2 linked regions of the Rattus norvegicus genome follow. The protein of the gene in region 2 purifies or fractionates together with the protein of the main gene of each other region. This does not show direct contact. Links are inferred from orthologs where the notes say so. Each region holds a gene or a part of one and is shown on either strand. Other genes may lie near its edges.

Region 1 (3,521 bases), on a different chromosome or scaffold from region 2:
ATGAGGAATCCCTTCCTACGGTTCTCCAACACTGGGCAACAGAGTCCCACCCTGCAGTGCCTAGGTGACAAAAGGTGACTATTCTCCTCTCCCCATCCTGGCCATTTGAGGGCTGGAGAGATGGCTCAGCGGTTAGCACTCTCTGTTCTTACAGAAGACCCAGGTTCAAGTCTGACTCCCACACAGCAGCTCCCAAATATCCCTAACCCCAGTGCCAGGGGCTGGGATGCCCTCTTCTGACCTTGATAGGCACACGCACGGTACACAGACATAGATGCAAGTGAAACATCATACACATAAAATAAATCTAAAAACAGAACTCCGGTTTTTTCTGGGCCAGTCTGGACTATATAGACAATACAAAGCCAGCCTAGCTACACCATGAGAACCTATCTAGAAAAAGAATTTCTTAAGGTTAAAAGAATTCTTAAGAATTTCTTTGAAACTATTATTCATAGAGCAACCCAGGTTGGGGGCGGAGAGATGGCTTGGCAGTTAAGAGGTCATACTGCTCTCTCAGAGGCTCTGAGTTCAGTTCCCAGAATCCATGTCAGACCGCTCACAACTGCTCCTCCATAAACGGCTGCATTTACATGCAAATATTCACACACACACATTTTTAATTTTTAAATAATTCAGGTTGGTTTATCATCGTCTTTGACCAGGTGTAATGACAAGTAACCGAGTCTTGGCTTCAAATCATTCTGTATCAATCATACAAAACAATTTATTCAGGCAAATATGAACTAATTTGTGACGTAATTTATTAACACAAATGGCTTTCAGAAAACTGCAAACGAGGCAGGCATTAGGCCTTTATGTGCGTTTCAAAGGCGATCACCGAGAAGCAGCAGCTTTTTCAATGAACTGGGCCAGCTTCACGTCTCGCTTGCTCAGGCCTCCACAGTCATGCGAGGTGAGGGTGATCTGGACCTATGAAGGGACAAGCAGACTTTTAGACCTGAGCAGGGACCCGTGCATGGCGTCCCCCCGGATGTCGATATCAGTCGACTTCCCAACATTCCCATCTGAGAACTGGGGGTTAGCTGGTGGAGAGCACACCTGATGGATAAACACAGTCTCCCAAACCATTGAGCTTCGCAGCAGCCGCCTAAGAGTAAAGGCTCCCAGAGGCTGAGGGGAGTCAGCTGCCAGCATGGAGAGCCTGCCTTCCTGGAGGAAAGGAGACAGATGCTCCATTTTAACTCCAGGACTTTACTTACACCAGCTCTGTTCAGGCCACCAGGAAAGAGCAGGCACACAGACCTATCAGGCAGTCACTGAGTGAGCTACAAAAGCAGGCAGGCTGCCAACTGAGGAGACGGGCATGTCTCAGCCACAAGATTGAAAAGCAAACAGAAGCATGGGGGTGGGGGGTGGGGTGGAGTTCAGCCTGGAACTGGTCAGTTAGGACTTGTTTCCTTTTAAAAAAAAATTTCAAAGTGGGATTCTCATTTCTCAAAGACGACTTACAACCCTTCAGAGAAATCTGGATAGACCGTGCTGAGATCCTAAGGGCAGGACCCTCTTGGTGGGGGGCTGTTCTCGCTGCACCCCTTAAAACATTCCAGTCTGCCCTCTGGAGGTCAAAACTTTAATAAACATTTACTACAGAGAAACGTCTTCTGAGATTTCTGAGAGACATGTAAGGCCACGCTATCTGGTTTGCTACCATTCCTTTTAATAAGTTATTTCCAAATCAAAACTCTGAGGTCTCAGGTAACTGAGCTGGGCATGGAGGTGTATGCTTGTAACCTCACAAAGCGTGAAGCAGAGGCAGGAGGATCTCCCTCACGCCTGGTATTTATAGTGAGTTCCAGGCCAGCCAGGGCTACATAGGGAGACTGACTTAAATAATACATTCCTCCAAAGAAACCCCCCTCCACAAAAATATACGTCAAATTGTATCTTCATGGCTGATATCCAAGATCAACTCAGGAGCCTAATGGAGCCTGAACTTCTGAAAGACAAGCTCTTCTCCCAGGAGCGCCCTGACTGTGTTACTAATTAACAAGGACACACCGGGTTCCTTAGAGAATCTCGGCACTTCCTGTGGATTCATAAGTTTCTTCAGTTCCAAAGTTAAAGTGATCCAAAACTGAAGAGGCTCAGTTACCTTGTTGTACACGTTGAACCATTCCGGGTGGTGATTCATCTTCTCTGCTTGCAGGGCAACCCTGGACATAAAGCCAAACGCCTGCAAAACAGCGCGTCCGAGTAGTTAGTTACCTGCCCCGCCCTGCGCTCTGTCGCTGGGAGACCCCAGAGCTGCCCAACCAGATAAAGGCTGGCTGCCCTGCTGGGGAAGCCTGAGAAATCACAGGGGAAGGGCTGCTCTGGGCAAGCCAGGGCACCGGGGCAGCAGACTGCTAGGTGGGGAAACAATCTGGCTCAAATAAACAAACCAGGAAATGAGTATCACCTAGTGACCTGTCTGGACGGCCTAATTGTCCTAGGACTCCCGACGACGACGGCACTAGAATAATTTCCCTTCAACCCAGCGCCCTGGGTCTACCTGCCCCAATCGGGGGAGGCAATTTGCTCCTTAGCTGTTCCTTCTGTTTTTAGTGAATGGGGTACTTCGGTCATCAGCCGCAGGGCTGTGAAGAGAGGCGGACGCGTCCCAGCCCACCCTTAACCACCTTCCTACACAGCTACAGCCCCACCAAGCTGAGGTGACAGTGTGCCTCAGCAGAAGTCAAGCATGGAAACAAGACAAGGACCCCGCCCAACAACACTGACAGCCGGGCTCACACCACAGGGCAAACAGGGATGCCAAGTAGAAGGCCGTGGCGTCTTTTTTGCTTTTCTTCACACTTTTATGAAGGTGACTTCAAATAATAATCCTACTTCACACAGCCCCCCTCTAAGGCTCAGGGACCTCTGTGGAAGGGGACCACAAAGTCCGTAAGAAGCTGGAGACAGGACGAAGTTTCGGACTGCCGTCTGGACTCAGCACATGCCCTGCGATCACCATGCTGATTACCTGCACTGGGCACACGCATGATTGGTCCTGTGAACTGTCAGTCATGGGTATCCATTTTAAAAGGAAGGGGAGGGGAAAATCCATTTAGCTACAAACGGACTTACCCAGAGCAAACCACGTTTACTCTTCCTGCCCCTTTTCATTCCAAATCTGATCCCCTGGAGCCCACGGAAGCTATGAGTAGCGTAGGGATGTCCGTTTCAGGTATTCAGACACAGAACTTCCGTCTAGAGGGCTGGGATTTTATTCAGCATGGGCAGAAGTAGAGGACGTCTGAAAGGGGCCAGCGGTGACAGACAGTGATGTGGTTAAAGGGCCTCCTGCCTTTTGAACCTGGGAACTCTGGATTCAAATTCTGATACTATGACATCATGGTCATGTGATCCTAGACTCCATTTTCCTTTTCTTTTTCTTTCTCTCCCACGTAGCACAGGCTGATCTCAAACTTACTGTTCAGTCTAGATGTGTAGATGTGTGCTTCCATAAACAGTTCGAAGCTCAGCTCCCCCCGTCTGTTATTTTTTAAGATTTTATT
Region 2 (3,851 bases):
GAGCAGGGGCGGCCCCATGCAGAGAGGGAGGCCAAGATGCTCAGAGCCAAGGAGAAAGGGAGAAGTGGGTCCCGCGCAGGAAGACTGGAGCAGGCAGCGCTGAGTGTGCGCGCATCCAGGACTTGCAAAGCCAGCATGAGGGATCAAAAGAAGGGATAATGAGCGAGTGAGCGTAGGGAGGCTAGGGGGAGGGGAGGGGATAGAACTAGAACTAAGAGAATTTGCCTTTACTCTGTCTACCTGCTGACCCTGAGGGAGGGGAGGGAAAGGGTCTTGCCCAAGGTCACGTGGTAGACAAAGGATGGGGCTCTAGGAGGAGAGCTGAGGTGTCTGCGGTGGCCTCGAACGCCATGGGGTGGGGGTGGGGGTGGGACCTGAGACCCCAGACCCACCTCTCCCTCTTCCAAATCTTCCAAAGGTAGACCTTGGAATCAACAGCTACCATGGGGAGTTGCTTCTTTCTACCAACCCTTCCAGCCTCAACTTGCCCACTAGCCAGGCCCTCCTCAGGGGTCCTCCAGCCCTCTCCCCAGAGTCTCCCCCCACCCCGTCCTGAAACTAGAGGCCCCCACTTTTTGTCCCTGGGGACATGTTCAGGTCCCCTTTGTTACCTGAACAATAAGTAACCCGGGTAGTTAGTTATAAACTCCGCAGGAACAAGAAGCTGGTTGATAATTTATAGCAACATCTCGAATTTAAATGGAAAGCAAATAGCTCGCTGTTAGCATTAAAGAAAGGCAACCTGGGAGGGACACGCTCCAGCCTCCTCTCAGCTCAGCCTCTCTCCCCTGCCCCTTCATCAAGCTGCTCAGAGACCCTCTCTTTTCCTGGCTCTTCTGCTCTCCCCAGCTCCCCCAGCCCTCTTCTTCCCTCTCATCCTCCTCCTCACCGCCCTTGTCCCCTCTGCCTCCGGGATTCTTCTGGTTACCCCCAAGGAAGCACTTTGACCTCTGCTCCAGCTGCTGTGGACCAAGCTCCCCTTCAACCCCCACGGCCCCCAGCATGGGGGCTGCTGAACAAGAGGTCCTACCTAGCCAGGTAAGAAGACTCTTGGCCTCCCTGGCCCCTCCGCCTCATACTAAGCCCCCAGTCCCACCTGGGGCCCCTGAACGGGTCAGGCCCAGCTCCACCCTATCCAGGTTCCTTGCGCCCTGGTTCTGGTAATACTTGGCCCTTTGCCCCTCCCCTGCAGCGAGGCAGCACTTTGCCCTCCACTTTCTGCCAAGTCAGGGGGCCTGGCTGCTCCTCTGCCCCTTGCCTAAGGCCCTGGGAGGCTCTGCGACACTTCCAGAAATGCCGGGATCCACCAGCCCTCCCCCACCCCAAGTCAGGATCAGGACCTTGGACAGAAAAGAGGCTGCTTCCGGAGTGTTCTTGGGAGATTGTCCCCAAACTCCTCAGCCAGCCCTCAGGCCCCTCCTTCACAGCTCTTTCCCCAATCTGAGCCTCAGTTTCCCTATCTGAAAAGCTGGTTTATTAACCGCTTCCTTCTGGGGGGCTCATCTCTACATCATGGCGATTTAGGCACCGCAAAACCCCACAAGAAAATAGGAAACTGGGTGATAATCTCAGGAAACTGTGGAGGCTTTGGGACGTGGGGGTGGTAGTATTCCCCACGGCCCCCAAGTTACCTTTCCCCCACCTTGGTGTTCCCGTTCTCCACCCCCCCAACTGGGCATCTCCCAGCCACCGTCCCTACAAGTTAATGATCACAGGCCTTATCAGGGCCTTTTGCTATTTATAAATTTATAAAACAAAAGAAATAATAGCGCGCATGGGTAATTAGTAACCAGGGTGGCTTTGCTGAGGAGAGGGGAGGCATTGAAATTGGGACCCACCCAACACTCCAGGAGATGGGGAGCCAGACAACAGATGAGGAGGGCTGGTATGGGGAGGCCTCTAAACCTGCTATCTGACCAAGTTGGGGTCAGGGGGTGGAGGGAACGGCACCTGGCCATGCATGGAAGCTGCCAGCCCTCAGCTCCATCTGCCTCAGGTAAGAAATCCAGGCGTACCCAGCCACATGCTTAAGGCCCTGGCAGATCAGGAAATCCCCTAAAACGCCAACATCAGCCCAGCCTCCTCAGACGCTTTCGGGTCCCTAAACCTGGGCTCTGACCCCCTAGCAAAGAAGGTGGAATTTGTGGGAGCCACAGGCGACCACCCTGGGGAAGGATTTCTACCACCCGCTGGTTCTCCCACCATATTCTTGGGGTTCACTTCCTTTGTCCTCCGTTTCAAAGTGACCTCAGGCCTGTCCCGGTTTCCTAAGGACGTGGCTGCAAACAGGAAGCCCATGGGTATGGGGTACGTAGGACCAAACTGAGGGGTAGGTTCAACAAGAACCCCTTGACCACCAGCCTGAAGACCACAGCTCCCAAAGCCTCTAGGAGGGAAATGGAACTTGCCCGGAGCATAGGGAGCATAGACTGGGCCGCTATGAGTTCCTGCCCGGGTGCTGGGGACAGGGTGGGATCCTTACTGAAGAAGTGACTCCACCACGGCTTTCTGGTGGGCTGCCTCCTCTGGGCTGAGGTTCTCCAGCTCTTTCAGAATGGGTGGCGCGAAGTCTTCCCCATCGTCATCCGTGTCATCTTCCGAGCCACGCGTCTCCCCCAGGCCATTGGGCAGCTCGGTCAGGTCCCCTCGAGTCCCACCGCAGGACTCCCCCTTGTCCAGGGGACCATCTCCAACCATCAGGTAGGGCCCGGGCTCCCCCAGAGCCTGGATCAGAGCCTCTTTGCTCAGGCCCGACTCGAGCAGAGCAGCCAGGAGCTCCGTCTGCAGCTGGCTCAACTTAGAAACCATGGCTCCTCTACCGCCAGGCCACGCGGCCCAAGGCCACTGAGCTAGCCGCCTCCCCCACACACGGCCGGTGTCTACTGCTGGCAGTCAACGGACCAGGCTCGCTGCACCCACTGCTCCCCCAAATCCCACTAGTCAAGCCCTGTGGGCACCCCCAACCCCCAACCCTGGCCCCAGCGGCTAGTGAATCAGGGCCCCTGCCTGCTCTGTTTACATTGGAGCTGGGGAAATTCTCCAAGGTTCATATTTATCCGTGTGCTTAGCGAAGGGACTGAACTTTGGACTTCAGCCTTGCAAGTGCAGGCCTCACAGCAGCGAGAGGGACCGGACCGGGAGCCATGGCTTGCAATTGGGAGTGAGCAGAAGGGCGGGTGGGGGAGGTGGAGCGGGAACCAGGGGCGCAGGGAGAGAGGCACCAGGAGCCAGGAGGCCTCTGGGAGCAGCGCTGGTCCCACTGCCCAAGATGCCTTCCTCCTGGCGTAGAACTTTAAAAGCGTGTTTCTTTGGGCCCCTGGAACAGTAGGAAGCTCTGGGCCACTGGGCCAGTTCTCAAGGGCAGAATTAGGTCATATTTCCTGGAGGGAGTCACTGCACCTCCATCCTAGCCCAACCTTAGGCTTCCCGGGGGGGGGGGGGGGGGGGGGCGGGGTAAAGCCTGTGTTTTAGCACTTCAAACGTCTGTGTTGAGGATTGTACTGGGTTATGATGTGTTGCTTCTTATCATTGTGTGATCCCAACCGGGACATACGTATGTGTGTGTGTGTGTGTGTGTGTGTGTGTGTGTGTGTGCGAGTATGTGTCTCTCTGTGTGTGTTTATGTATCTGTGTGTGTGTCTGTGTGTGTATATGTCTGTGTGTCTGTGTATCTAATCTATATGTGTCTATATGTGTCTGTGTGTGTCTGTGCATCTGTATGTGTGAGTATGTGTGTGTATCTTTGTGTCTCTGTCTGTGTATGTGTCTATGTGTGTGTGCCTGTGTTTCTAAACTATGTATATATGTATCTGTGTGTGTGAGTGTATCTGTGTCTGTCTGTGTTTGTGTCT

The links.
Region 1: the proteins of Hnf1a (region 2) and Pcbd2 purify together in Homo sapiens (affinity purification with mass spectrometry; 4 studies listed by BioGRID and IntAct, with this or other methods). This does not show direct contact. The link is inferred for Rattus norvegicus from reciprocal best matches to the Homo sapiens genes HNF1A and PCBD2.

Annotation. Positions count from the first base shown.
Region 1 is NC_086035.1:8,849,644-8,853,164, forward strand, and holds the end of Pcbd2 (pterin-4-alpha-carbinolamine dehydratase 2), read right to left. Parts: intron 2,198-3,521; coding exon 2,117-2,197; intron 934-2,116; coding exon 838-933; 3' UTR 706-837; downstream 1-705.
Region 2 is NC_086030.1:47,305,352-47,309,202, reverse strand, and holds the start of Hnf1a (hepatocyte nuclear factor 1-alpha), read right to left. Parts: upstream 2,959-3,851; 5' UTR 2,809-2,958; coding exon 2,483-2,808; intron 1-2,482. UniProt on the Homo sapiens protein: Transcriptional activator that regulates the tissue specific expression of multiple genes, especially in pancreatic islet cells and in liver. Binds to the inverted palindrome 5'-GTTAATNATTAAC-3'.